Linked DNA regions of Caenorhabditis elegans. The protein of the gene in region 1 interacts with the protein of each later gene in a pairwise test. Each region holds a gene or a part of one and is shown in the gene's direction. Other genes may lie near its edges.

What was found.
Region 2: the proteins of ccct-1 (region 1) and icpp-55 interact in a two-hybrid assay, tested with the Caenorhabditis elegans proteins (one large-scale study listed by BioGRID).
Region 3: the proteins of ccct-1 (region 1) and hum-2 interact in a two-hybrid assay, tested with the Caenorhabditis elegans proteins (one large-scale study listed by BioGRID).
Region 4: the proteins of ccct-1 (region 1) and F59D12.2 interact in a two-hybrid assay, tested with the Caenorhabditis elegans proteins (one large-scale study listed by BioGRID).

What each region holds. Positions count from the first base shown.
Region 1 is NC_003279.8:13,777,142-13,781,938, forward strand, and holds the start of ccct-1 (Coiled-coil and C2 domain-containing protein 1-like), read left to right. Parts: upstream 1-1,753; 5' UTR 1,754-1,757; coding exon 1,758-1,864; intron 1,865-2,637; coding exon of another isoform or gene 2,638-2,739; intron 2,740-2,787; coding exon of another isoform or gene 2,788-2,868; intron 2,869-3,001; coding exon of another isoform or gene 3,002-3,133; intron 3,134-3,231; coding exon of another isoform or gene 3,232-3,366; intron 3,367-3,418; coding exon of another isoform or gene 3,419-3,505; intron 3,506-3,548; coding exon of another isoform or gene 3,549-3,674; intron 3,675-3,719; coding exon of another isoform or gene 3,720-3,784; intron 3,785-3,855; coding exon of another isoform or gene 3,856-3,939; intron 3,940-3,986; coding exon of another isoform or gene 3,987-4,097; intron 4,098-4,142; coding exon of another isoform or gene 4,143-4,261; intron 4,262-4,797. Other genes in the region: Y37H9A.1 (Copper transport protein 86), read left to right, coding at 39-163, 1,390-1,536.
Region 2 is NC_003279.8:367,959-375,103, reverse strand, and holds icpp-55 (Aminopeptidase P N-terminal domain-containing protein), read left to right. Parts: upstream 1-1,658; coding exon 1,659-1,773; intron 1,774-2,390; coding exon 2,391-2,487; intron 2,488-3,430; coding exon 3,431-3,749; intron 3,750-4,342; coding exon 4,343-4,680; intron 4,681-5,857; coding exon 5,858-6,329; 3' UTR 6,330-6,603; downstream 6,604-7,145. Other genes in the region: R119.3 (DeHydrogenases, Short chain), read left to right, coding at 1,362-1,416.
Region 3 is NC_003283.11:9,384,621-9,389,201, forward strand, and holds the start of hum-2 (Myosin motor domain-containing protein), read left to right. Parts: upstream 1-1,554; 5' UTR 1,555-1,609; coding exon 1,610-1,666; intron 1,667-1,763; coding exon 1,764-1,877; intron 1,878-1,926; coding exon 1,927-2,444; intron 2,445-2,492; exon of another isoform or gene 2,493-2,494; coding exon 2,495-4,421; intron 4,422-4,470; coding exon 4,471-4,581.
Region 4 is NC_003284.9:15,672,010-15,677,325, reverse strand, and holds F59D12.2 (uncharacterized protein), read left to right. Parts: upstream 1-1,603; 5' UTR 1,604-1,666; coding exon 1,667-1,757; intron 1,758-1,805; coding exon 1,806-1,942; intron 1,943-3,080; coding exon 3,081-3,200; intron 3,201-4,391; coding exon 4,392-4,478; 3' UTR 4,479-4,813; downstream 4,814-5,316.

The sequences.
Region 1 (4,797 bases):
TTTCAGCAGAAAAAGTCTTAAAAATCTGAAAATTTCAGCGAATTTGGCGAATTTATCGGATTCTAATAAGCTTGCCACGCTGCAAAATGGCCGACAAGGACTAATTTCAGTGCTTCAATGTACCACGAGACGGCCTGAATATTTCTTGGAGAGCTTTACTATGGTATCATGGATTTTCTGAAAAACCCAAAAAAATTTCAAATTTTCACTTTCAAATTCGAATTCTCCGTCCAATTCTACCAATTTTGGCTTTTTTCCCGGTCTTCTAGCGTTAATTTTGAGATTTCCGGGTTACTGTAGCCCCAAAAGTACGCAATTTCTCGTCCGGGCACCGGATCCTACGACGAAATGCACAGAAACTCAAAATGTTGCGAAAAGTGTCGGGATATGGGTAAAAAAGAGCGCTGAAACCGAATTTCGATAGAAAAACAATGGAAAATTGTGATTTTCTAGGTTTTTCGCTGAAAAATGTCGATTTTTAGTGGAAAATTATTAAAAATCTCGAATTTTTGGTAAGAATTCTGCTGTTTTCTTCAGAAATTCGGATTCAGCACCCCTTTTTACCCCTGCCTAGGCGGTTTTCGCGAGTTTTGAAGTTTCTGTGCATTTTGTCGTAAGATATGGTGCATCGACGGAACATTGCGTACTTTTGGCGCTACCGTACCCCGAAAATCTTATAATTAACGGTAAACGCCTAGAAAACCGCCAAAGTGTGGTAAAAAATGACGAGCAATTCGAATTTTCACACTAAAAACTTGGAAAATTATCGGAATTCAATTATTTCCTCAGAAATTTCAAAAAAATTGGTAAAATTTCAACTTTATCGCTTTTTCCATATGAAATTCGAGCTCAGCGCCACTTTTTACCCCTATTCAGCTGATTTCAGCTGAATTTTGCAAGATTCTAGATTTCTGTGCATTTTGTCGTACGGTCAGGTTTTCTGACGACAAATTGCGTAATTTTGGGGCTACAGTACCCCAAAAAGTTCAAACTTAACGCTAGAAGCCCAGAAAAAAGGCTGAACATGTGAAAAATGGCGGGCAATTCGAATTTCAAGCTTAAAAATCTCAAAAATCGATATTTCGTCCGGAATTTTTTACAAAACTTGCTTTAAACTTGATTTTCCTACCCAATTTTCCTATTGAAATTCGGATTCAGCACACATTTTTACCCCAAAATCGCCGGATTTCGCAAGATTTGCCAATTCTGTGCATTTTGTCGAAAGATCTGGTGCCCCGCCGCCGACAAATTGCGTACTTTTGGAGCTACAGTACCCCCGAAATGTTCAAAATTACCGCTAGAAACCCGGGGAAAAAAGGCTAAATATGTGAAAAATTGCGGGAAATTCGAATTTAATACTAAAAAATCCCAAAAATTCCAAATTTTCAGAGAAATCAATCGATATTCTGTGTTCGTCAGCTAACAGATGGTTGTCAAGAGAATAAGGAAGTGGTTTTTAATCTCCAGCAGCCAAATCAACCAATTATCGATCGAAAACGACTTCTCGAAGAGCTCGGAGTCCACGTGGACAATTAAATTTTTGAAATTTTAATTTTTCTGTTGTTCCCGCATTTTTATACACGTTTTTTTGTTTTTTGTTGTTAATTTTTTTTGAAAAAATCAATAATTTATCGATTTTTTTTTCATTTTTATTAATTTCTCAATTTTCAATAACTGTTCCCCGTGCAGTTTTCTGGTATTTTTTTTCCCAAAAATTTCAGGCAAAATTTTCAGCCAAAACCCCCCTGATTTTCCAGATGAATTTCAATGATATTGATAATCAAATGTACGGGAATTTGGAGGAGGACGCTGAGTTGCTCGCCGAGCTTGCCGCAATACAAGAAGAGGAGATGGGTCGTGTTAGGTAGGGTTTTAGCGGGTTTTCGGCGAGAAATTCGGATTCTCTGTGATTTTTTACCATCGGGAGCCTTTTTTCTGGACTTCTATGGTTAATTTTGAATTTTCCGGGGTACTGTAGCCCTAAAAGTACGCAATTTTTCGTCCAGGCACCGGATCTTACGACAAAATGCACAGAATTTTTAAATTTTGCGAAAACCGGCTGGATAGGGGTAAAACAGGCCGCTGAAGTCGAATTTCAATAGGAAAATCGTTGAAAATGCGAAGTTATGGTGTAGAAATTCATTTTTTTCCGCAATTTCGATATTGTTACTGCGAAATTTGAATATTTTATCAATTTTAGACATTAAATTCGAATTCGGTAATTTTTCACCCCCGGGGGCTTTTTTCTGGGCTTCTAGCGTTAATTTTGAATTTTCCGGGGTACTGTAGCCCCAGAAGTACGCAATTTCTCGTCCGGGCACCGTATCTTACGCGAAAATGCACAGAATCTCAAAGTCTTGCAAAAAGTGTAGATTTTTCATGATTATCGTCTTTAATTTGACGAATTCCGGCTGTACCGTTAGGAAATTCGAATTCCTTGTCATTTTCTACCCCCGATGCCTTTTTTCTGGGTTTCTGTCGTTAATTTTGAAATTTCCGAGGTACTGTAGCTCCAAAAGTACGCAATTTTTCGTCCAGGCATCCGAATTTACGACAAAATGCACAAAATTTCCAATTCTGCTTAAAACAGGCTTTTCTGGGGTAAAAAGGCGAGCTGAGCTCGATATTCAATAGGAAAATTAGGGAAAATTCGAAATTCTGGCCGGGATTGTGTGGAGAGTGAGCGAATCGGTTGGTAGACGAGAGAAAATACTGCGGCTTGGCGACACCGTGAATGTTCTGAAATTTTAAACTTTTTTTAAAATTCATAATAACTTATTTTCTTACCGATCTAGAATTCCCGGAGAATGGTTAGAAGCCGCAGATTGTGGTGGTGGAAGTTCGTTGGTACGAACTGAAGAGTCGTCTCTGAAATTTATGAGTTCGAATTTGTTGAAAATTTATTTCCACGCTCTACCTGTCACTTTTTAAATGTGTTTTGCCTAAATTCTTTTAAAACTAAAAGTTACTAGAAAAACTAGAAGTTTAAAGCCAAACTCACCGAGAGCGACCAGCTCCGACATTTGAAGCAGCTGAAGTTCTCGAACGGGAACCTGATCTCGAACCTGTCGGGGCTGCTTGATTTCTGCTCCGGTTTCCGCTGAGCTCGGTGGCGTTGGGTTGGACAAACGTCCTGAAAAACAAAAACTTTACATTTTTACGTCTTAAAAATCGTCTGAAATCCACTGAAATTTATCTGATAAAATCAGTTTGAAAAACCAAACTTCTTACCGATCGGCCGTAGCATCCGTTGGGGCAGTCTCATACGATAGAGTTGGCTGGATTGTGTGAAGTGACAGTTCCGTAGGAAACCGAGAACGTGATCCACTACGACTCGATTGTATTTCTGGTGCTCCAAGGAATCCGCTGAAATTCAAATAATATAATCGATTCGAATTAAAAACCCGCTATTGCTTACGTGTCTGCAATCCTGACCGTATGGGCACTCTGAAGGGACGCCGATGGTGTAGTTAAGTGGGACGCACGCGTCGAAACAATAAATGTTCTGAAATTTAAAATTAGTGATTCATAATAACTTGTTTTCTTACCGATCAAGCGTGTTCGGAGACCGAAAAGAGGAGAGAACTCCGTCGAGTGAGTCACCTCTTGAGGTTTGAAAATTGCTCCGCGAGGACTGCGCTGTCATTTGGCTTGGGTGAGGACGATAAAATCCCCTGAAAAATAAAAACTTTACATTTTTTCGTCTTAAAAAATCTTACAAGTCGGCAGACTTCGCGGTATTGAATGCGGAGATGCCACGTTGGCGAGTCCTTGGTTGGATCTTCTGAAATGTGATAATTAGACTTTTGAACACATTTTTTGCTAGTTTCTAACAATCAATGAAAGCAAGCTTACCTCGTCGAGCGTCTCAATTCCTGCTCTAAAGAGCGATTATTTCCAGTAGAGCTCTGCAGAGATGGGGGAGGTGCCAGAAATCCGCTGAAAATCGAAAATTAACACTCAATTTTTTTAACTTAATTATTTACTTGTTGTGCCGGTCTGATCCCACTTGTGATTTCGAAAGAGACCTTCCGAACGTTACTAAAGGAGAGCTTCCGGACGATGGGACTGCAACTCTGTTGGAATTGAGTGTATTTCTGAAAATAGGAAACTAGAAATAATTTCAATCGAAAAAAAATCACCGTTCCAACACGCGTTTAGATCTCCGGTGGGGCGATATACTCGATGAGTCTCTTGACGCTTCGGAAGTCGTGTCTCTGGAATCCTCCTGGGAAACCTTGATAGGCTTACGCGACGGCATCCTAAAATTTGAAAAATTATACAAAGACAAGAGAGAGAAAATAAGTTAAAAACAGGAGAAGCCGACAGAAAAGAGAAAAGAGTGTGTAAGCTGAGAGGGCTCTGCAGATATTTTAAAACTGTGTGGTTAATAAAGGACCGGAAGAATAAAAGTTCTGACTTCTGGCCAAACTTCTGAAATTGGAAAAATCAATTTTCAAGGTCTCAGAAAAGAAGAAAAAGCAAAAAACATAAAAGATTGTCTATACTTCCAGTCATTCCAAAAAGTAAAGTAGAACTAAATAATAAAACGCTTAATTTTTGAACAGTTAATTCTGACAGCGAAAATAGAATACTGCGAAATTTGAATATTTTATTAATTTTAAACATTAAATTCGAATTCTCGGTGATTTTTCCCGCCGGCCGGCTTTTTTCCGCGCTTTTAGCGTTAATTTTCAATTTTCCGAGATACTGTAGCCCCAAAAGTACGCAATTTCTCGTCAGGGCACCAGATCTAACGCAAAAATGCACAGAATCACCAAATCTTGCAAAAACCGG
Region 2 (7,145 bases), about 13 Mb from region 1:
AAAATGCTTTTCTCAAAAATTCTCAGAAATACTTTTAGTTTTTAAAGTTTTTGAAAAAAATTCAAAAAAAATTTGAAAAAGTTTAACTCCTAACTAAAACTTGGAAAATTGTCCAAAAAACCGAAAAAAAAGCTTCTTCAATCGAATTTCTGGCTTCTACCAGAGCCAGGTAGAATTTTCTGAAAAAATTTTTTGAAGAAATCCAATAATTTAGAATCAAAAATCGAAAAACACTAACACTTACGAAAATTTCGAAAAAAAAAGTCCCGAAAAAATTCAAAAAATGAATTTTTTTCGATTAAGAGTATTTTTTAAAAAAATCAAATATAAAAACTTCGAGAAAAAATCTGGAAGCAAGCAGAAATCAGTCGAAAAACTGAATAATTAATTTCAGAAAAATTCTCAGAAATACTTTTAGTTTTTTAAAATTTTTGAAAAAAATTTTAAAAGTTTAATTCCTAACTTGACAAATTGTCGAAAAACCCAAAAAAGCTTATTTAATCGAATTTCTGGCTTCTACCAAAGCCAGGTAAAATTTTCTGGGAAATTTTTTGAAAAAATCCAAAAATTTGGAATCAAAAATCACTAAAATTTACGAAAAAGAACGTTCTTTTCCAATTTAAATTGAAAAAAAAACTAATTTTTATCGATTAGGAGTATAATATTTAAAAATACAATTCAAATATAAAAAAAATTCGAGAAAAAATCTGGAAGCAAGAAGAAAACAGTCGAAAAACTGAATAATTATCTTTTTTAAGGAAAAAAATCGCACTTTTTGGCTTCTACCAATTTTCTGGAAAAAAATTTGAAAAAATTTGGACAAAAAATCGAAAAACACTCAAACTTATTAAAATTGAATCAAAAAATTTAAAAAAAATTTAAACCGCAAATATCGAAAAAACGGGAAAAAAATTTTAAACATTGGATCGAAAAGTCTCAAAATTTGGTCACTTTTGGTAAAAACAGAAAAAATCTGAACAATTTGAGAAAATATCGATTTTTCTTCAAAATAAGAGGATTTTTTGTAGTTTTTCAGTTGAAAAATTTTTTTATCGAGAAACGTTTCGAAAATTTGAAGAAAAAAATCTCACATCCAAAATTACCATAAAATTGGAAAATTGATAATATTTTTTGAAAAAATACAATTTTAAACATTTAAAAAAAATTATCATATTGAAACAATCGAAAAAACTAAAATTTTTTGGTACTTTTAGTTTTCAGAATTGTTGAAAAAAAACTTTTCATCAAAAAAAAATTTTTTTAACCTAAAACTTCCGAAAAATTTCGATTATTCGGAAATTTTTTGGTTTTTTTCATAATTTTGTTTTCTAAAAATTCAAAAAAAAATCACTTTTTTTCAGGTACATCACCGGCGAGAACTGCATTGTTGGAGGAGGAGTCTCGTATCGATTGTAGATTTTTTTTGCAATTTTTCATTCATTTTTTAGACTTTTTTAGTAGGTTTTTCTGTTCATAATTGTTAAGTTTATTTTTTCTATTAATTTTTGCTCAATATAAAATCGAATTTTTTGTTTTACCTCCTTTTTTCTCTCGAAAATTCAGGTTCCCTGTTTCCCAAAAAATCTATTTTTTTCAGTTTTATTCATTTCTAAAAAAATTCGAATTTCCCTCCCACACAGATCAGATCCAAAAAAAAAATGCTCAGAAGTGGGCGGAGCCTACCAATGTGGCCATCGCGAATTCCAAATGAGGAATATGCGATGAGAAGGACGAATTTGATGAATTTACTCAAAAAAGAGGTCAAAACTGGGGGTAAGAGGCAGAGAAATGGCCTGGTGGCCTAGAATTCTGAAAAAGTTAGGCCATCATTTGGAAATGAGGATTTGCAGTACAAATAGGACTTTTTTAAATTAAAATTTTCTCAAAAATCCGAAATTTCGCGGTTTTTAATTGAATATTGGGATTTTTAAAGATTTTTTTTTCAAAAATTCGGATTTTTCAGATTTTTCCGTTGAAAACTCGAATAATTGCCAATTTTTGGGTAAAAATTCCAATTTTCTTTTAAAAAATTAATTTTTTTAATTGAAAAAAAAAATTAAGGCGAGTTTACTCTCAAAAATTTGGAATTTTCCGATTTTTAAATTTTTTTTTGAAAATTTGGATTTTAAAATCCAAATAAAGAGAATTCTCAAAAATCCGAATTTTCAGATTTTTTTAAAGGAAAAATTCTATTTTTCTCTATAAAATTAAATTTTTCCTGAAAAATGTTTTCCCATTTTTCTTGAAAATTTGATTTTTCTAAAAAAAAAAACGAAATTTTTCAGAAAAATTTATTCTACAAAATTCATCGTGTCGAGACCCGGTACCGTAATAAAATCACCATGGTGGCCTAGAAAACCATTTAAAAGTTAGGCCATGACCTCTCAAAGTTTCAGAAAAGCAAGTGGTCGTTGTGATGAAAGGAGCACGGAAATCATATATTGCACCGGATGTTCCACACGCGTTCCGACAGAAAAGCCATTTCAGGTTCGGTTTTGATGGCCGTGGCCGTGAAAATGATGAGAGAAAACTCGGCCACAGATTAACTTTTTAAGTTAAAAAAAGCTTTTTCCAGAAAAAAAATAAAAACTAGAGAAATTTTTTTAGATCCAATTTTCAAACAAATAAATAAATTTTAGAAAATTTTTTTTCTGAAAAAATCGAAGAAACAATCGAAAATTGGAATTTTTCCCAAAAAAAATTTCAAAAACAAGAATTGATTGAAATTCTTGGTACTTGTGTATTACATGCCCTCATTTTAATAGTAATTTTTTAAGTAGCAAAATAGCAATTTCTAAGCCTAAAAAGAGAAAATGTATATCACGTTTAATTTAAATGGAGAAATTAATGAACATTTAATTTAATTTAAAAATGAGGGCATGTAATACACAAGTACCAAATTCTTCAGAAAAAAATTGAAAATTTTTCAAAAAATCTAAAAAAGAATGAAAATTAATTTTTTTGTCAGAAAATATTTTTGTTTTGAAAATCAAAATTTCGCCCTAAAAAAATTGAAAAATAACCTAAAATTATCGAAATTTAAGCTAAAATTAATATATTAGTAGAATTTTTCTGAAAACATTTTTTTTTAATTCTAGATTTTCCCGAAATTTTTTGTTATAAAATTAGTAGAAATTTAACATGTTCTTCTTTAAAAAAAAAACTAGAAAATCAGGAATTATTGAAATATTGAATTTTTCAGGAAAATTTCGTTAAAAAAAATCATTGCCGCCGAAAATCGACAAATTTCTTTTTCTGAACGAAAATTAAATTATTTAAAAATTGAATTTGTTTTTTTTTTGTTCAACGAAAATAATAGATTTGTTCACAATTTTCGGATTTTTTTTGGGAAAAATTCAAAATTGTTTGATAAAAAAAATAAATTAAATTTTTAACAGAAAAAAATTTGAAAAATTTTTTTTTTTTGCAGATACCTAAACGGAATCACCACACCAGATTGTTATTACATAATGCAATCAGGAATATCCGAATCTTCAAAAGAAACAAATATTCTTTTTGCTGACCGTCGTAGTGCCTATGATGAGCTATGGGAAGGCGCCCTACCAACTGAATCCGAATGGGAAAAGACTGCAAAATTCACGGAATGTGTGCCGACTAGCCGGATTCTACAGACTTTGGAAAAAGTTTGCGATAAGGGAACTGCAGTGTTTTTTGATTCGACTTCTGATGATTTACTCTATAAGTTTGTACAGGCTAAAGCTAATTCTGTTCGGGAAATTAATCATTTTGTGAGTTTAGAGATATATAGAATTTGCAGAAAATTGTTCAAGCTTTGAAAAAAAAATCCGATTTTCGAGGATTTCAAAGTAAAAATTCAAATTTTGTCCAATTTTTAAACGAGGTCAATTTTTTTCGATTTTCTAGTGGAAAATTTGATTTTTTCTTGAAAAAAAAGAATTGTCTGAACAAAATAGGAAGTTTAAATTTTCCAGAAAATGGTTTTAGGAGGTTTTTTTCATCCCAGAATAAACATTTTTAATCTAATTTTTCAAATTTTTCAAAAAAAAAATTTTTTATTTACTTTTTATTTTGTTTCACCAATTATCAATAAAATTGAAAACGCTCCAAATTTTAAACTGAAAATTTTTTTTTCGAAAAAAAAAAATTTTTTAACGGTAAAAAAATTTTCCCAATTTTTACTGTTTTCGAAGCTTTCAATATTCATTTTTTTTTTAGGAAAAAGTTCTAGAAATTATTTTTTTGAAACTTTTGGAAAATTCCAATTTTTTCCTAAAAAAAATTTTTCTGAACACCCGAAAAATCGTTTTAAAATTTCAAAAAAAAAATTATTTTTTTGCCAATTTTCAAGTTTTCCTTGCAGATCGAACGTCGCCGAGTAATAAAATCTCCATCCGAAATGAGCTCAATGCGTGACGTGTGCAACGTGGGAGCCCAGACAATGAGCTCAATGATATCGGGATCACGTGATCTACACAACGAGAACGCGATTTGCGGGCTCTTGGAGTTTGAAGGACGTCGTCGTGGATCAGAAATGCAAGCATATCCACCAGTGATTGCCGGTGGTGTTCGTGCCAACACTATTCACTATTTGGACGCAAATAATGACCTAAATCCCCGGGAATGTGTTCTCGTGGATGCTGGGTGTGATTTGAATGGTTATGTGTCAGATGTGACACGTTGCTTTCCGATTTCTGGATTGTAAGTGCTAAAAATTAGTGATAAAACCCCAAAAAATTAAAAAAAATTGAATGTTTTCCCATTTTTTGCTGATTTCGCCCACAAGTCTATTTCTACGAAATCTTGCATTCCAGTATTTGTGGTGACTCAAATGAAAATTTTTCTCAGAATTTCAGAAATTACAGAAGTTCGGCCAAAATTCAAGAAAAATGGGGTTTTTCTAGAAATTTTGAATATTCCCGTTTGAGACACCACAAATCATTCTGGAATGCGAGATTTCGTAGATATGGATTTGTGGGAGAAATGGGCGGGGCTATTCCAAGATGGCTAAAAAATTACGCTAAACATAGAAAAAAAAAAGAAGAGGCACCACCGAAAGGAGAACAGGTGAAAAAGGAGAACAGAAACCACGCCCATTTTTTCCGTGCCGCGCGCAAGTTTTTCTGCAAATTTTTATTTTCAAACGAGACAACGAAGCTCCGAAATAACACGTTGATGATAAAGAACACGATATGCGTTATTTCGGAGTTTCGCTGTCTCGTTTGAAAATAAAAATTTGCAGAAAAACTTGCGCGCGGCACGGAAAAATGGGCGTGGTTTGTGTTCTCCTTTCTCCTTTCGGTGGTGCCTCAAAAAGAGTCTTTTTTGCACTTTATTCCTTTAAAAATCTCCAGAAAATTCAGGAAAAATGATTTTTTTTCTGGAGATTTTGAAAATTCTAATTTGAGTCACCACAAATTCGAGAAAAAAATGTTGTTCCGTAGAAATGGAATTCAGGGTGAAATTCCCAAAAAATTACGCTATAATGAATTTCAGAATTCAGGAATTGATTTTTAAAAAATAGAAGATTTCGAAGAAATAGATTCGTGAGAGAAATAGGCGGTGCTAATCACGGAGTTCTCCCCTTCCTCAGTGAATTTTTTGCGCTCCATTGACAATCGCCCGCCGGACAACGCGTGGGAAAGTCGTGTACTCCACACGTACAAATGCATTTAGTTTTACAACTAAAATCGAGCCGCGACGCGGCACCAGATATGGCCGAGCCAAAATGGCCTAGTTCGGTAAACTCTTCCATTCCAATTTATGAGGGAAGCCAGAAATCCGTGGATAATCGTTTTATATAAAGTTTAATATAATTCGAACGAAATTTGAAAAATCGTTTCAAAAAACCTTCCCAAAAAAAAATTCGTTTTTGCAGCTGGTCAGACGCCCAACTATCCCTCTACGAAGCGCTTCTCTACGTTCACGAAGAACTGCTCACCTACGCCCACTCAATGGAAAAAGTCCGCCTAAGCGCCCTGTTCCGCCGAATGAACGAACTTCTCGCGGCAAGTTTCACCGAACTCGGCCTGATTCGATCTACGGATCACAAGGAGATGATTCATCAGGCGGAGAAGCTGTGTCCCCACCACGTCAGTCATTATCTCGGAATGGATGTTCACGATTGTCCGACAGTATCCCGAGACATTGATCTACCACCGAATGTGCCATTTACCATTGAGCCGGGAGTGTATGTTCCGATGGATTGGCCTGTCAAAGAGTTTCGTGGCATTGGATACCGTATCGAGGATGACGTGGCGACTAGTGAAGCTGGAGGGATTGAGCTGTTGACTGCTGCAGTGCCAAGGGATCCCATCGAGATTCAGAGGCTCATGGGAACGGCCGAATAATTGTTTGAATGTGGAATACCGAAAGAATTGAGAAAATATTTTAGAAATTGCTCCAAATTTGGCCCTGATTTGATATTCCTTTGTTCAAACTTTTCGCTAAAAACATTCTCATTGGAGCGCGTTATGCCATGTGGATTTACGAGATTCAGTTTTACACATTTCTGTCGGTTTTTTTGCTGAAGATCTGCATTTTCGTGCCAATTGAACATTTTATTATCCAAAATTTTTTGCGAAAATTTTCAAAAAAATTAGTTAACTTTACACGAAAATCGATAACAATGATGAAACTCGTTGAAAATCTTAATCTCGTAAATCGACATGACTTTGCGCGCTCCAATGAGAATGAGGCTGGAGTGGCGGAAAAATAATAATTTAGAAAAATAAATATTTTCTTTTGAATTTTTCGGGCCAAATTTGGAGAGATTTCGGTACTGCGCCTCAAATGTTTTTTTTTTGTTTCTATAGTTTCCTAGTTTGTATTTTTTTTTTTGAAAAAACTCGCATTTTCATTGTTTTTCCTATCATTCCTATCAGAGGGGACTCGGGGGAACACAAAATTCAAAATTCACAGAAAACTAGGTGATGATGTTGCTGGAGGCAAAAGAACAAAAAAAGATAGAGAGGGTGGTGTTGGTGGTGGTGGTGGCAATATAAAAAATGAAAAATATAATAAAACAGGAAACGATAAGGCAATAGTGGGATAAAAACGGTATGAAACATCATTCAAACTGAGATTCAGCACAGGAATACTTGGGATGATGTGTGTATGTGTGTGGAGAGAACGAGAATTGCGAAAATGCAATAAGATTATATTAT
Region 3 (4,581 bases), on another chromosome or scaffold:
TTAGTTTTTGTTCAAATTTTTGGAATTCGATTTTGTAAAATACCCGTTTTTTTCTTTTGAGAATTATTCGAAGTAGCTTCATTTTTCGTGTTATCTCCTGTTTTCAAAACTAATCACTTCCTCTGCTTTGCGCTCTTACTATATGTGGAAACAACTGTTTCCTCACATTCTTTTACTTCTTCAGGCAGATTTTTTTCATTTTCGGCGCAATTTTATGATGGCCGTCAACAGCTCGTCATCACTTGTCGGAAGCACTGAAAGTGGAGAGACTCTGTAGCGATTAGGCAAATGTTCGTTTTAATCTACCTCCATCAGCAGCGTTTTTAGTAGTAGACCGTCCCAATTTTCGCTTTTGAATTGAAATCGCTTCTTTCCTCGTTTCGCTTTCTACTTTTCGGATTTTGTCGGCTTGTACCCAGAATTGAAAACTAATGTTGTCGTTCTTTTTTCCCACATCACGATTTTGGTTTCTATCCATGTCTTCCTGTTTCCGAATAAGAAAGTGTGGAATTTAGCTTATTTTCTCCTTTTTCTCTATTATTTTATTATCGAAACAAGTGGTAAATACAGGATTATTAGCAGCTACTTATTGCCGATAAGAATTTCTTCGTATTTTAATCACTTTCTCTATTTCTCCGCTCTTCCTTTTCTCTGTTGACACCTTCACACCTTCGCAACGTATGCAGATTTGCTCTGGCGATAAAATTGCCGCAAGGCGCTGGTTTGAAATTTGAAATGGCAGCCGGCTGTCTTTTGTCACCGAAGCAACGCTTCTTTCGTTACTCCCGATTTACATACATTTTCTCCTAAAAATAGTGAACACGAAATTAATTTTTCATTACAACCCATAACGATTATACATTTTTTGATTATCAGCAAGTTCATAGGAGAGAGTAAATTATTATTTTGTTGTCATAAACAAAAAGTAGCTATAAAAAAAACAACGTCGAAACCAGTATTATTCCCTATTTCATTGTGACACAAAAAAGTAGTCCCAAAATGTGATAAATCACAAGTTTCCAAATGAGACTGCCCTTGATGAATAGTAACGAATTGAATAGAACAAGCTTCTTCTCAGTCTCTTAGCGGAGAGGAACACCGGCCGATAAGTGTCCTTGGCAAGTTGCACATGCTTGCAAGAGGCGCCAATTCAAATCTATCTTTTCTTTCCACTTAATCCTACACCTCCTCACTTTGTTTTTCATAAATGTTGAGTGGCGCGAGAGATGGATATTGAGGAATGTATATTTCGGCACCACCGGGGATAATAAATTTTTATGAGGCACCATGCAAAACCGTAGATCTTCGCTGTCTTCACGTCCAGTACGGGAAAAAGTGTTTCATTGCCGAAATGTTTATTTTTGCGTTTCCGAACCTGATAACCGGACAATATCGTAGAATGGGAGAAGGAAGGGCAAATACACAGTGATATGTTCATGTAAATATTTCACGTTTTTTCCTGTCTCAACTCAACATTTCACCAACCTATCGTTTCTCTTCGTTCTCTTCTTAACTTTCTTTAACTCGTGACTTATGTTCAATTATTCCAAAATATTTCAGATTCACCGAGCCTGTTCACCGAATCGAAAAAAGATTGGGAGCATCCAATATGGACGGAGGCGCCACTCTTGGCAGGGGCCAGTTGTTCCCGCTGCAAAACTTCAAGGTGAGAATTATTTAAATCCTACTATTAGATGCCATTTCAGTTTTAATAGTTTTTTGTTGCTCAACTTTGTTATTCAAATAATTTTGGAAATTTTCAGAAGGGAGTTCGTATTTGGCACCGCCACCCAACCCTTGTATGGATTGGAGCTACTTTGGAAGAGGACATCACATTCCAAACACGGAATGTTCGGATAAGGCTCGAAGATGATACGGTGAGAGAGTTTATCGCATTAATCGTTTTCAAAAACTTATTCGTTTCAGGAAGTCGAGTACGCCATCAAGTCATTGGACCAGTTGCCATTCCTCAGGAATCCTGCATTTCTTGTTGGCAAGGATGATCTCACACTTCTTTCCTATCTTCACGAGCCGGCAGTTCTTCACAATCTACAAGTTCGATTTGTGAAAGGATCATCGATCTACACATATTGTGGAATTGTGCTTGTAGCAATCAACCCTTACGCCGATTGCTCGCACATTTATGGAGAAGAAATTATCCAAGTGTATCGAGGAGCTGGAAAATCAGCTCGTGAGATGGATCCTCACATTTTCGCTGTAGCAGAAGAGGCCCACTTCGACATGGGAGCTTTCGGAAAATCACAATCTATTATTGTGAGTGGCGAGTCTGGAGCTGGAAAAACCGTATCTGCGAAATTTGTCATGCGCTATTTGGCATCTGTTGCAGCCAGCAAGACCAGAAATGGCGGGACCACCAGCATTGAAGCACGTGTGTTGGCGAGCAATCCGATTATGGAGTCGATTGGAAATGCCAAAACGATTAGGTTGGTTTATTTGAAATTAATCTTAATTTGTCAACTGTTTTTATTTTCAGAAACGATAATTCGTCTCGATTTGGGAAGTTCATACAGATTAACTTCTGTGAACGAGGACGAAGGATTGTCGGAGCCGAAATGAAGACATATCTGCTCGAGAAAAGTCGTCTAGTATTCCAAGCACCTGGAGAGCGCAATTATCACATCTTCTATCAGTTATGTGCCGCTCGGAATCATCAAGTTCTCAAAGATCTTCACTTGGGACCTTGCGAATCGTATTCGTATCTCACTCAAGGAGGAGACAGTCGTATTCCCGGAGTTGATGATAAAGCTGATTTCGAGGCTTTGCTGAAAGCGCTTCAGTTGCTTGGATTCGACGAAAAGCAGATGTCCGATGTATTCCGCCTTCTCGCTGGATTATTGCTTCTCGGAAACGTGCATTTCGAAAACGGCGAGGGCTCGTCCGCTGTATCTGCTAGCAGTTGTCAGGAGATTTCACGACTTTGCCGGGAGTTTTGGAAAATCAGTGAATCCGATCTGAGAATTTGGCTGACAAGGCGAGAGATTCGAGCTGTGAATGAGATCGTGACGAAGCCGTTGACCAAAAATGAAGCTGTTCGTTCGAGAGATGCTCTCACGAAAATGCTGTATTCCCATTTATTCGGATGGCTCGTCGACAAAATCAATGAAGCTTTGAACGAGAAGGATAAGCTGGACGGAACAAATCAAAAGAAGCGGCCAGATCGTTTCATTGGCGTCCTTGATATCTATGGATTCGAGACATTCGATGTGAACTCCTTCGAGCAATTCTCCATCAATTATGCAAACGAAAAACTACAACAACAATTTAATCAGCATGTCTTCAAGTTGGAGCAAGAAGAATATATTCGTGAGGAAATTGAATGGGTTCGTGTTGATTTCCATGACAATCAGCCCGCTATTGATCTTATCGAAGGTCCTGTCGGAATGATCAATCTTCTCGACGAGCAATGCAAACGTCTGAATGGATCTGATGCTGACTGGTTGAGTCAATTGCAGAATAGCACGGAGCTGAAGAGAAATCCACAGCTCGCATTTCCAAAAGTTCGGAGCAACGATTTTATTGTTCGTCATTTCGCTGCTGACGTCACATACAGTACGGATGGATTTGTGGAGAAGAACAGGGATGCGATTGGAGAGCAACTTCTTGATGTTGTCGTTGCCAGTAAATTTCCATTCATTCGCACAGTCATCGGATCAACTGCACCAACCTCCGTCTCTTCATCATCATCTTCATCGACACCCGGAAAACGTACGATAAAGAAGACTGTGGCCAGCCAATTTCGTGATTCACTCAAAGAGCTCATGTCTGTACTTTGTTCGACGCGTCCACATTACGTCCGATGCATCAAGCCAAATGACAGCAAAATCAGTTTCGATTTCGAGCCAAAACGTGCGATACAACAACTTCGTGCGTGTGGAGTTCTTGAGACTGTTCGAATTTCTGCTGCTGGTTTCCCATCTCGTTATCCGTATGAGGAGTTTGCTCGTCGATACCGTGTAATTTACACGAAGGAAGCTGCCCTGTGGAGAGACAAACCTAAACAGTTTGCGGAATTAGCATGCCAACAATGCTTGGAAGAAGGCAAATATGCAGTTGGAAAAACGAAAATCTTCTTACGTACTGGACAAGTTGCCGTTCTGGAAAGAGTTCGGCTCGATACGCTTGCAGCTGCTGCAACTGTGATTCAGAAGATGTGGAAAGGATTTTTGGCCAGGAGAAAATACGAAACGATGAGAAGATCTTTGCTCATCGTCCAGGCATCGTTGAAAGCATTCCTCGCATTCCGAAGAATCAAGTATCTCCAAATGCATCGTGCTGTGATAGTCATGCAATCTGCTGTTCGTGGATATTTGGAGCGACGGAAGTATGAACAAATTCGCGATTCAATCATTGGGATCCAGGCAATGTTTAAGGCGAATCGCGTCAGAAGATATGTGGAAAAGGTATGATAATTTGTTGAAAGTTTTTTATTAATTGTTTTTAATATTCCAGCTTCGCTATGAGAAATCTGCAATCACAATTCAAGCAGCTTGGCGTGGATATTTGGCGAGACGTGAGCAAATCGCTAACAGGAAAAAGGTGGTCATGGTTCAGTGCGCTGTC
Region 4 (5,316 bases), on another chromosome or scaffold:
GAACAGGTGTATCCAGTGCACCTTTCTATTTCTATTGAAATTTTACTTGTTTTTCGAATGTATCATAAATGAAAAAGTTTTACTTCGAAATATTATTTGAAACTGCGATTCTACTTAAACTGAAGCTGAATAGGTATTCGATAGGTACGTACTAGATTTTATATGACAAAATAGGCCATTATTCAAATGTGCCGGTTTACTACTCACAATAGCTTTTAATTTCGATGAGATTAAATTTCAAATATATACTACACCCAATGTATTACTTTCACTCCAATGCTAGCTACTATGCAACATTTTTTTTCGGCTTCCTGTGTCTTTCCATCATCAAGTAAACGTTTCTTCTTCGTGAGAGGTTGACCGGAAGTCACCTCGTTGTCCACTGCTCACTAACAATAAACATACACCCGCAGTCCAGTGCTCTTTTAGAACATATATTAGTGGTTTTTTATGCGTTACGCCATTCAAGTGCTCCTTTCTTTCTTTTCATTAACTTCTATAGTCACCTCTTGGCGCGCCACTTTTGGTCAAAAGCACTTGAGTGGAGCACTTTTAAAAAGGCTACGTCAGATTTTGAAGTTATCGCAGCACTTAATTAACTTTGCAATTTTTGAACCCAGGACCGAATATTTTTTGAATTTTTAAAATGTTGCTATTAGATAAAATTCGAAATGTAACCGACTTGTCAATGTCGCAGCGGCTGGTAATCATTTTTTTGAAATCACCGTCAAATTTAGAGTATACAAGTTATTATCGAAAAAATACGACAATTTTCTCATAATTTATTTTTGATCTACCTTGTTGACTAGGCTCCTCCCATTCCATCGACAAGACAGCAACAATAAAATAAGAACGGCAACAAGTTTGGGGGCGGAGTCAAGTTCAACAGGTAGATCAAAAATACATTATGAGAAATTTGTGCAATGGTATGGTTTCTATAATAATTATCTTGCGTTTTAAACTCGATTTAGGTAGTTTAAAGCCAATGAACAAAAATATTTGGTAACAAAACTTTTAAGATCTCTTCGTCCATCGACTTTAAAATACCTAAATCGAGTTTAAAATGAGATAATTAAATTGAATACTCAAAATTTGACGGTGATTTCAAAAAAAATTGTTTCAAGCCGCTGCGACATTGACAGGTCGGTCAAAATTCAGGCTTTTTTTGAGCCGTCATAACTTTTTTTGAGAAGTTTTCAAAAGGTTTCATTATGAAATTCGTTGTTTTTAGGCAATTTTGAGTCTGATAAAGCAACAAAAAATTTAAGTACTACATCTTTGAGTGCAATTTAAAAAAAAGAAACCTCAAAACTTTCACTAATTTACTAGAGATTTCTTGACCTACTCTCCTCCGGAGGTTACAAATCCGTATATACATTTGTACACTTTGATCCTCACTCATCTCACCTCCCCCCTCTCCAGGTGAAAAGACCACTCATGAATATTATATCTAGGACAATCCCCGTCTGTTTACAACTCTCCTCTCACCCCCCCCCCCCCCCCCCATCTCTCACTGTTTTCTCCGAACACCGGATCATCACGACGCATGTTTCTTTTTAGACGGAATCATCCTATTTTTCTTGTTTATTTATCATTTTTGCAGACCGACTTCAACTTGTTCATTTATTCTACTTGTACCAATTTTCCAAGTTGATTGCGCATCGGAATGGGAGAGCGTGAGGTCAACCTACCGCAACTATTCTCCGACGTTTCACGAACCATAAGCGGTATTTCGAACATCATGGGTGCTGGAGCAGGTTTTCTGGCTCATTTCTAAATTTCATTAGTGTAACCCAAAGTTTCAGAAGCATCCGGTGATGGGCCGGGAGTTGGTGGAAGTAGCAGTGCTGGTGGTGGAGGTGGACCTTCAATAGCTGGTAATATTTTTGGTAACACATGTTTCAAGGCCTGTGGTATGGAAGATATTCAATTTGCTGCAAGGGTGAGTGACGATTCGTAATATGTTTTTAGATGAAGGTTTTTTTAATGGAGACTGGAACTTATTTAGTATATATCCGTTTACCAAAAATAAATTACCCATTAATTTATATTTAAAATAATAATTATCTCGAAACGTGTGATTAGGTTGCATTTTAAAGCTTAGAAAACCACAAGTTCAGACCTAAAAATGTTCTGAAAAAAAACGGTCTTTTTTTTTTGAAACGGTTCAAAGTGCTTGGGCATGACTACCACATAAGTACCGTAATTGTATTATATCAAATTTTATAGTCGTTGTGCATGTATAAATTTGCCAGAAACAATTATTGAGTCACTTGAAAATATACGAATAATTCTAATATTCTGATGTTTTATTTTTAAATATAAACTAAATTTCTTTAAAGGTGGAGTAGCGCCATTAGGAATTTTGTTTAAATACACTTACAATAATCCAAAACGACCGAATATCATAATAAAACACTCCAAAAAAGTTTTAGATTTTTCATAATTTTCGGTCAAAGTTTTGGCAAAAGAGGTTAATAGTCAAAATTTTGAAAAATATTAGATTTTGAGGAAATCCAAAGCAATTTCGCATGTTCTGACCATTACAATGCTTTATATGAATAACTAAAACAAAATTAAAATATTAAAAATGTAGGAAAATTTTTTTTCTTAGTCGACTTTCAAAATTATGAGTGGCAAAAACTAAGTAATTGTCACTTTTTGACAGTAAATTAAAAAGTTTCAAAACAAATTTGAACCGTTTTATTATGATATTCGGTCATTTTGGCACCATAGGATTAATTTTAAACACTTTCCCACTGGCGCTGGTCCACCTTTAATAATATGTTTTAACTTGTTTAATATTATAATCTAAACCTGTTCAATAATATTATCTTACTGTCGCCAGTGACGTCATACTACAATAAACTTGCAAAAAGTTTTAAAGATCCATTAAAAAAAAAAAAAAAAAAAAAAAAAAAAAAAAAAACAAACACTAGCTTTGAAAACATAAGAAAACCGATGTACTAATTTGGTCATTTTCGGCAGAAAAATCAGGTTTATTTGCTGCTTTGTTCATTCTAGAGGTTGCTCCCAAAAAACGCGCATCATTGTTCCAAGTTCAAATTATCAACTTACAGGCTGCGGGTGAAATGTTTTCAACAATAAAAATGTGCGTTCTTATGTCTACAATCATTTCACTTCTCCTCCTGGTACTTCTTTCTACTGCTCTTCTTTATTTCATGTGCTCTTACAATCAGGTAATCAACCTAGCTCAGGTGTATTTCAAACTGTCAAAAAGTCAATAATTCTATTAGTCTTAGACAATATCCTATCACGTTAATCAAATATTGGATTTGCAAGTGAAGACTTGCGCCGTTTTTCTCGGTTTAGATACGCTCTTTGCACATGTTAGCTGTTGGAAATAAAACAATGGGGGAATCTTGGTCTAAAAATTGGAAACGTTTTGAAAATTTGAAAGTGGAGTACCGAAATCTGGGAAATATTTTCAAATGACTCCAAATTTTCCCCTGATTCCGAATATCTATGTGAAAAAATTTAAAAAAATTTCTTTGATTTTATATTTAAGCTTGAAATCTCGATTTTCATTTGCGTCCCAATGAGATTTTTCAAATGCGCGCCGAAATAAGTTATCCTTGGAGCGCGTTTGCCTCATTTAATTTTCTCCATTTATTTTTACTGCTTCCAGTTTTTCAGCTTTTTTCATTCATTTCTATGCTAATATAATGTTCAATTGACACGAAAGAATATATTTAAAAAAACAATAATATACGACAAAATGAACGAAAAAAGCTAAAAACTGTCACAAGTGAAAATAAATGGAGAAAATTAAATGAGGCAAACGCGCTCCAAGGATAACTTATTTTGGCGCGCACTTGAAAAATCTCATGGGGACACAAATGAAATTCGCGATTTCAAGCTTAAATAAAAAAAAATCAGAGAAATTTTTTTGAATTTTGTCACTTAGATATTCGAAATCAGGGGCCCATTTGGAGTCATTTGAAAATATTTCCCAGATTTCGGTGCTCCACCTTAAAAATGATAAAAAAATGTTCTTAAAGGTGAAGTAGCGCCAGTGGGGATTTTTACAAAATACACTTATTATGATCCAAAAAGACCAAATATCATAGTAAAACACTCCAAAAAGTTTTAGATTTTTCATAATTTCCGCTCAAAGTTTTGGCAAAAAAGGTTAATGGCCAAAATTTTGAAAAATATGAAATTTAATGTTTTAATGCAAACAATTTAAACAAAATTACAGTATAAAAATGTAGAAAAATTTTTGAAATGTTTAATTATGATATTCAGCCATTTTGGGACCAAAGGAGTGGTTTTTAACAATTTCCCCCCTGGCGCTACTCCACCTTTAAATGTTTTAATTTTTTTATTGAAAACAATGAATATTTTCAACTTTTACATGCATTTTTCAGAATTGCAACAGCTGCACCAAATTCTCCCTACCTTCATTTTTCAAACGTGTGACTTCTACTCAAAGCCCGGTGACAGCTCAAAAATGATGGATACATTATTGAAACCACTTCAACTCATTCGACATTTCACGACGTTTGCATTTTAATTTATTCCGTTTTGTTATGCATTATTGCGGGCTTTCTTTCTCCTCCTTCTCGTCATTTTTCCTTTTATTTTTTTTCTAATTTTCTTCAATTTATTTTATGATGTCTTTCCTTGTGCTCTCAGCTTCAACTAATATGCGAAACCTAATTAAACAACTTCCTTATGATGCAACAAACATCATTCACACTCATCTCTACGGATGAAACCGAAAATAACTAGTCATTTACTGTATAGGTCGTTTAACATATTTTTCGGCAGAATAAACATTTTTGAATTACCTCTCCAGTATTACCCCTTACACTAACGGCGGCTTTTATCTAACTCAGAGACCGAAAAACGAAACGTATTATTAATTATCAATTTTCAATTATTTAAGAGTGGTTTTGGGTTTTGTTCCAGTGATAAAATGTATTGTAATACAAAATATAATTTTTATAAAAAAATAAGAAAAACAAATAAAAAGCCGAATAAAGTCATATAGAATCTTTTTCTCAATGATTGGAAAAAATATATATCTGAACACAATAAAACCTATAAGAACTTTCATTGGTAACCCGAGAAAATGATGAGTGCTTGGGACTTTGGGCAGATTTAAAGAGAAGAAATCTTGAATGTTTATATTCAAATAAGAAAAATTTAAAAAAAAATAAATTGAAAATCATAGTTGATCTGTAGAATCTGAAGTTGTATACCAGAAAATTGGAGATTGAAAATGAGCGTTTTGGAAGAAAATGATTGAACTTTGAAAATTGTTAATTTGAAGAAATAACAAAGTGGTGT